Tribolium castaneum: one gene and its partner. The main gene of each other region encodes a partner of the protein of the gene in region 2 in a complex. Links are inferred from orthologs where the notes say so. Each region holds a gene or a part of one and is shown on either strand. Other genes may lie near its edges. The genes, in order: Nup37 and Nup43.

Region 1 (3,546 bases), on a different chromosome or scaffold from region 2:
CGATAACTGTGTTATCGTATTTCCTATTATTTGTAGCACAGCACAGTTACACAGAGGAAACAAATTGTATTAAGTAAATATTAAAAAAAACTCAAAATTGCGTTTTTTTATTTAAAAAAAATGTGTATGTTAATTTTTATGCAAATTTTCATTCAAAATATCATCTCTTGAACCTTTTGTAGTAAGTGATTTTTTTTAATTTAATAAACAAATGTTTGAAGTACTAAAATTTTCAGCATTGTCAATTGTTAAATTGCAAGGCTACTAAGATTTTTTGAAAATATTGATCAAATAATGATTATAACACATTTATTTCAATGACAGTTAAAAGAACATCGATTTTTTTGATTCTAGTACTATTTAAAAAAGATTACCAACATACATATACAACCCTCCATGATTGAGTGTATATGTAATAAAATTTTTTGTATTTTTTCTGAAATCAAAATACTCATGAAAAGTGTGTAAGAACTCAGGTAAGAAGTTCCGGAGAAAAAAATTAAATAAAACACAGAATTATGTGAAATATGTTTATTTTGAGACAACTTTCCAAAAAGTCAACGTCATATAATCGCCAACGCAAACAATTGGATATCGGCAATGCCAACTAACATTACTCGGAAGTGTGACAGGAACTGACAACTTCATTTGATTAATCTGACAATCAACAATTTTCAACGTACTATCTAGACTATTAATCGCCGCCACCAAATTCCCAAATGAATTAAACCTAACAAAACCTCCAGCTTCGGTAAAAACAAGAGTATTACTCGCCGGAACGCACGGCTTTGACAAATCCCAAATGAGTAATTCCCCTAACTGCAATGATGCCACTAATTGCGAATCGGACGGCGCCCAATGGGCACAAGCTAGGGGCTTCCCATAATCAAGCGATAGAATTGGATTTTGCGTCTCAACGTTGTAGAAACGAATTAAACCGATTTTTTCAGCAATGAGTAATTTTGAACCGTCGTCTTTGTGCCAACATACTGACATTCCAGGTGACGTCAGTTGCAGTGTCACCACACATTGAAAATCGGTGGTGTCCCATAGTTTGGCAGTGTTGTCGTCACTCACTGACACCAGAAAATTATTGTCAGGGTCGAATTTAACGTCGTTTATGTAACTGTTGTGCTCACTTAAGACCTAGTCAAAAAAATAATTAAAAAAAAAGGTTTTTATTTACTAATCACAGCCTACTCTTATGCCAATTCAAATCAATTTATTTATTTATTTACGAACCTTACACACATCAGAGCCCCTTAAATCACTCCGAAACACTCGCACCTTGTAGTCTTTGCAGGCCGCTGCGAAAATTATATTATTTGGTAAAATGCTGGTTGATGTTTCTGGGGAAAATGTTAAGGAACAGCAGCGTGATTTAAGAGTGAATTCTGCCAAAATATCGAGTTCCAGCGATTGTTCCTACAATTTTAATAAATCAAACATCATTCTATTGTTACAAAACATACCTCATCTATCTTTAAATGCCCCAGGACTACTTTACTTTCGAACCCAATTAAAATCAAATCTTGGGAAAGAATAAAAGGGGAGAATTCAATGTTTAGTATTTGTCCATATTCCGAAAAATCCTTCTTAAATACTACCTTGGAATCGTTCAAATGCGATGCAATTTCCATAATTATGTTTGATTAGAAAAGTGCGCCAGAAATCTAACCTACAATAACCTAACTTTAGTAACTTTTGTGTTATGTCACCATGCGGCGTCATATTGGTAACCAAAACTAACCTTAAACCACATTTGTTGTGAAGCGAAAAAAATCGTTTTTTTGTGGGAATTTTCTTCATTCAAGATGTACTTAATGTATTATTTGGATAAAGACGGTAACCGGGTTTACACCTTAAATGTGAGTGTTACTTTACTGTCTTAAATATTGTGATAAATGAGTTTTTTTGTAGAAATTTGACCCTTCAGGAAAACCCACACTTTCGGCACATCCAGGTAACAATTCGTGAATTTTGGGGGGTTTACGTGAACTCATTATTGTTTTAGCACGTTTTTCACCCGAGGACAAATACTCACGTGAGCGAATCACAATCAAAAAACGTTTCGGGTTATTAATGACGCAACAGCCGGAACCAATTTATTGAGAAATAGTTTATTTTATTATTGTGATGAGAATATTTTTTTGATATGAATAAAAAATCGTAAAATAATGTGTTTTTTTTTTGTCATGTTGCTGCTTCTTCTACATTCTTCAAGTTATCTTTTAGATGTCTTTTTCAAAAAGTTATAGTTTTACTTAGAATTTTTCAAAATTATTTAAAAAAAAACTTTAAAAGAATTCCCCAAAATTGGGAAAATTCACTAGGTTGGCACCACTAACGGCGCTTGATTTTCAGTGCCTTGTGTGAAGAATAAGTCATTTCTTGACTGTTTTGTGGTAGTAAACGCTTGTCTGAATAAAGGGCGTAAATTCCAGGCCGTTTGTTGGTCATTTTGTGTAAATTAGCCATAGAATACACACACATTAGCTTCGCATTTTAGGGACATTTGGTAGCGTTATCAGCGCCGCCCTTGCCTGTCATTGTCATTTGACACGCCATTTGTGAGAAACCTTTGTTCTTTCTCAAAAAAATCAATAAAATACGTAAAAATGGGCGATCCGAGCCCAAGTGATCAGTTAGAAGACGGTGAAATAGTTGACGATGATGATTTCGAAGCCATTTCCGATAATTCCATCATCGATTCAACTTTTGGTAAGTTTGCTTCAACTAACCAACATTTACGTGCACCCCCTTTAAGTAGCGATAGTGAATCAGACAAGATCAAAACTAAAAAGCTACTGCACCGTAAATCAAAGCACCAAAAACGGCGCAAAAAGCGCCGAATACCGTCGTCTGACGACAGTGACAGTGATGTGTCACCTCCTCAAGATCTCAAGGGCAAGTTAAAAGAGGCGATCCACATCAGTGGTAGTGATGAGGGGCTCAAAAAACCCCTCGAGACACGACTCAAAGCCATGGGGGGCCTGGCCGCGAGCGCCCCCGAGCCCCCCCAAAAAAACGAAGACACCTCAGATAAAATGGACGATACTGAACTGGAGAATTTGCGTTTGGAAGCGCTAAAGACCGCGATTTTGAACAAATTCCAACGCCGGAAGCGGAAAAAGGAAGAAACGCTCGAAAATAAAGAGAATGATACGCCGAAAGATGAGAAAAAAACGGAGGAAAAAAACCCGGTTATTGACCTAGAGGAGGATGAGGACGTGTTAAGGGCCTCCCTGTTGGCGGGCCTTGCGAAAAATATCACTGAGAAAAGTGTAACCACTAAACCACTTCCTCCACCACTTCCGAAACCAGTAGTAACTGCGCTTCCAAAACGGCCAATAAATAACTTTAAAACCACGAAAAAAATCACAGTGACTAAACCATTAGTTAAACCGTTGATAATCAAAGTGAGTGATTCGGACAGTGACGAGGAAATTGAACCGAAACCAAGTGCTCCACAAGCGCCAAAAAAAACCGACTTGAATGTGATTTCGAGCAATGTTGAGAAATTTCTCAAAGAGCAAAGAGCCAAAT
Region 2 (4,585 bases):
TTGTCTTGCACTTTGCGAAAATATCTCAGAAATTGTGTCTTCATTTCGATATTCTTTGGCAGTGATCAAAAACTATTTGATCTTAAAATTGGACCAAATAATGCTCGAGAGACGGTTATGACGTCATAATCCCAAATTTATATCGAAATAACTTGAAGTAGGATCGTTTCATAAATCATTTTAAAGTAACTTAAACTTTTAAAAGTGACTTCAATTTTTAAAATGCGTTTCAACCTAAAAATTTTCGTAAAATATTTCGTCAAATAATGATTAGGTAAAGACGTAAAGACGGCGGCAAATTACAAAAGCAACTTTAACAAACGTTAAATTTGTCAGTTTTTTGAATTGCACAAAATTAAGAAAGTGTTCATTTTTTCTTCTAATTCATTATCTTCTTCCGAACTGCGAAGACAAAAAATTTATAGAAAAAGAAAAATTATTTTGAAATTGTTAGTGATGTAAATTTCTTCGATCAGTTTCGTTTAACCAAGCCAACCATTTACGCTCGTTTGAAAAATGTTGAATAGATTACGTTCTAACAAGTAAAAGTCTCAAAATTGACGCCTGTGCTATGGCAGTTTGATTTAGGGTATTAATACAAATCGAAAGTTAAGAGTAAAAAATTTTCCAATTGTTCGTTTTAGAGTTATTGATAAAAATGTAAATAATAAGCTTTAGCTGTCTTTCCAATTATTTGTGCAACATAATTGATTAGTTGATGTTAGCGATATTAAAATTCTTTGAATAACTGTGTCTAGTAAAGAGTATTATTAATTTCCTTCGTTTTTGTATGTGTTAAATGATAAGATACCACTTTATTAGTGTATTCGAAATTTTGACGATATGTTAAAAGCTCGGTTATAAGTAAGATGTTTGTATGATGGCAATGCCACTGCTGAGACTAGGGCCTACACGGAAAAGTTTCCAAATCGCATTATAGCATACTTTGTGACAACAAATTTGGTAAATTCGCTTTTAATAAAATTTAATGTACAAATTTTAAATTTTAGATACTTATCAATAACTCGATAACGAAGGACAATTGGACAATTTTTCACTCTTAACTTTCGATTTGTTTTAGTCTTCTGAAGCAAATCCTAAAAGCATGGGCGTCAATTTTGAGTATATATAGGGTATATACTTATAGTTCTCACATTACTTGCTATGTCAACCGCAAACCAACAAAAACTTACCCCACAATTGCAGTTATTATTTTGATCATTGTTGTTTACAAGAAGGAATCCTAAAAGATAATGAGCCTCTTGCAGGTACTAAGAAGATGCCCAAAATAATTGATGCGGTTTTGTGGAAGTTTTCATTGGTTTATGGTATAGACATAGCCAGTTACGCAGAACTATACACAACATCAAAAATAAAAATATTTTCGTCAACACTATAACTATTTCATAAACTTCATCAACAGCAGCAAGCTGAAGACGAAAGGAACCATTATCGTTGATTTTTTTGCGTACTAATGATAATGTGGATTTAGCACAATTATCTGGCGGACTAAATACTAACAAAAAATAGTTATTAACATCAACTGCATTAAAGTTTGAAATATCAATGTCATTTCTTTACGTAAAGTAATCTTATATATGCGTTCCAAAATCAACTATCTCCGCGTTGTTTTTTGGAGTTATGTGTTTGCCTTAAAAGACTTAAAACTTTAGCCACATGTTATTTCAGCAAATACGTAGTTTGAGTTTTTTTATTCCATTTCACTATCTAGTCTTAAAAAAAGGATTTTTAAAAGACATTTTGTTCCATAACCGCCCATCTCCTCTCCAACTTGTTCCAAAACTTGCCACCTCCAACCTTAAAAAAAATGCAGGCTTTAAATTCAAACATTGTAATTAAAGTATAGGTCATCGAATTCTACTCTCTAAGAGGTTTTATATCAGTGTAATTTAAAATTTATTTGTTCAACAGCATTTGTATTAAACATTAAACAAAAATACTGAATAGAGACGGCAGGTTTTGGAACTAGACGACTCATTTTACAGCGTTCAATTTTATTAAAACTTCACGCTGTAAAATTATACCTACCGCACGTATAATGTAAATAACTATTTTGGTATCATTTAAAAGAAAGTTGCCAATACCTTTAAGTTGGCACCATTTTTGGCGTTTGCCAACATAAATAAAAAAAAAATAGGTACCTTCTTCATCGCCAGCTACCACCAAATGCCTCTGTGTAGGGTGGTTTTGGAGACACAATGGCGAGATTTGATCCCCACTCAACATGAAAGTGGTCGCGGGTTGGCTTTTAGGGGCCCGAATATCGAAAATCTTCAATTGTCCACGAAAATTACCGGTCAAAATTTCGCTATGCTTCAGAAAAGCCACACAACGAATTGAGCAACTATCGGCGTTTTCAATTGTGCGGATAACGTTTTGGTTTTGGGCATTTAACAAATTGATAGAACCGTCTTCGCCAACGCTCACAATATCGTTGTCGTAGGTGCAAAAGGCAGTGCAAGGGCAATTCTCCCCATTGGGAAATTTGTGAACTCCCTCCCAGTAAATTTTTCTCTCAATTAAGGGATCAATTCCATGTTCGGAAGTAATCTTCAGCAGACTGACGCAGCCCGACGACGAAGAAGCAACGAAAAAATCGCCGTTTAAGAACTAAAAAATGACAAAAATTGTTTCACTCGCTACGTGGCTCGTATCGCAATACTGATTGTAATATACATACTTTAACTTCAGTTATGTCCCCGTTGTGTGGAAATTCAGCCACCAGAAATGGATAAACTTCGGCATCTTCTTCATTTTCTTGGAAATCCCAAAGTTTGATGCTGTTTTGGTCATTGTCCCAACTGCCGGTTACAAAATAATGCGAGGCATTCATAAAATCGGGCCTCCAACGGATTTTATTAACTTTTTCAGAAACAAATGTTCCATGAATGTTGTGGGCCATATTTTGTGTATAATTAAGCCCATAAAAATTAAAAAAGTGGCGCTATAACCTCACTGTGTCGTTGAAAGCATAATTGAATAATTGTCAGGCAACCCACTATACGTGCGGTGGAGTATACTCCGTATCAAATCTATAAGACAAATTGCTTAACGACTCTACATTTTTTTAAGCCAGAAGTACGTTATAAGAATACATGATTAATGTTTAGAAAATATTGTTACGGCTGAACTGTAATAAGTTTATGTTTAAAAATAAAATAACTATTTAAAACAGATTTTTTTATGTGGGGGGTTTATTTTATAGAAACGGAAGTAGGTGTACGTTCATGGCAACCTGTTCACTGACAGTAATGTTTTCCACTAGATGTCAGTCATGAAATTTCAACAACAGAACTGGCCTTTATAAAGCCCCCCTACATGAAAGGCAATTAGACGAATTTAGTAATAAATACAAAATAAAGTATGTGATAAGCTCTCCCAAAGCCAAGAAATGGAACAGGTCAGTAAAACTAAAACAATTTACAACTTTTTTAACCTAGAAATTTTTCAGATTGATAAAAAAATCGAAGACGAAAATGATTAAACAGCTGTTGCCTGAGGAAGACACTAAGCCAGTTTAGTGTTGTAGCAGCCCCTTGAGGAGCACAAATGTCGTGATTATTCCTTTGAGACGAACCAGTTTCTACATTTAAAGGGACACCATTGAATAAGATACACTATACACACATTAAACATGTGCCTTTGAATCAAATGTGTGATTCCATTCACAGCTTGCGTTAGTTGCAATTTAGAGACGTTTTTTGTATTAGTGTTTCTAAAACTTGCTATTAGTAACAGACATGGTTATTTCAGTACTGTAAACAATATATATTTAAATGTCGCGAATGTTCATATGATGCAAAAAATAAAGCCGGCGATTTAAAAGATCACACACTGCACCACCATATACTTTCAACCTCATTAAATGTCTGTTGCACAGACTATTTTCAAGACGCTGTTTAAAAACATGTTTTTAGAACATTACATATCAGAACAGGTTTAAATGTTTCACTTAACTTTATAGAATAATTTGGTGAAACGTAAGGCCCTTATTGTATGTCACAAATCTCATTTTAAAACCAATAATAATATTAAATAGTTATTTTGTATTATCTTCCAAGCAGAGTAGTTAAGATTGACTAAAGTAATATTTTATAACAGTGCAGTTGACGACAGAAAATGATTCGCAAGTTAGGGTTTCTTTGGGCTTGCTTCAGCTTAGGCCCCATGTCTGCTCATGGTAACATCTGTTCTGAAAAGTGAGACGAAGTGAGCAATAAACATCTTTTTTACTGCAGACTAATCATTTTCTGGCCCCATTGCATTGTTGTCATGAAATATTACTTTAGTATATCTCCACAATTTCGCTTGGAAGAAAATAATGTTTGTCAGTTTAGGACGAAGCATAAAGGGTATTGGATGCGGAATCTTAGGCGAAAACATAATATTGAAAAAGGCTAACAGGACTTACTATTTTTACAATAATAATTCTCTCTATACCTACTGTTAAAAAACATGAGAAAGTGTTTATCGATGATTTTTTGTAATAATACATATTTTGTGACTCTACATTACATAAAAATTGATTATATTATTTTATAACCATTACGACCTGTAAACAGCT

What was found.
Region 1: Nup43 (region 2) and Nup37 share a complex: the UniProt entries of both Homo sapiens proteins name them as parts of the nup107-160 subcomplex of the nuclear pore complex. The link is inferred for Tribolium castaneum from reciprocal best matches to the Homo sapiens genes NUP43 and NUP37.

The regions. Positions count from the first base shown.
Region 1 is NC_087402.1:810,570-814,115, forward strand, and holds Nup37 (nucleoporin Nup37), read right to left. Parts: upstream 1,887-3,546; 5' UTR 1,869-1,886; coding exon of another isoform or gene 1,815-1,868; 5' UTR 1,810-1,814; coding exon 1,751-1,809; exon of another isoform or gene 1,726-1,750; intron 1,679-1,725; coding exon 1,608-1,678; intron 1,532-1,607; coding exon 1,473-1,531; intron 1,426-1,472; coding exon 1,243-1,425; intron 1,147-1,242; coding exon 532-1,146; 3' UTR 517-531; downstream 1-516. Other genes in the region: Nop10 (H/ACA ribonucleoprotein complex subunit 3), read left to right, coding at 1,815-1,868, 1,921-1,963, 2,015-2,112; DNA mismatch repair protein Msh3, read left to right, coding at 2,619-3,546. UniProt on the Homo sapiens protein: Component of the Nup107-160 subcomplex of the nuclear pore complex (NPC). The Nup107-160 subcomplex is required for the assembly of a functional NPC.
Region 2 is NC_087398.1:14,041,454-14,046,038, forward strand, and holds the start of Nup43 (nucleoporin Nup43), read right to left. Parts: upstream 3,026-4,585; 5' UTR 2,924-3,025; coding exon 2,702-2,923; intron 2,632-2,701; coding exon 2,163-2,631; intron 1-2,162. UniProt on the Homo sapiens protein: Component of the Nup107-160 subcomplex of the nuclear pore complex (NPC). The Nup107-160 subcomplex is required for the assembly of a functional NPC.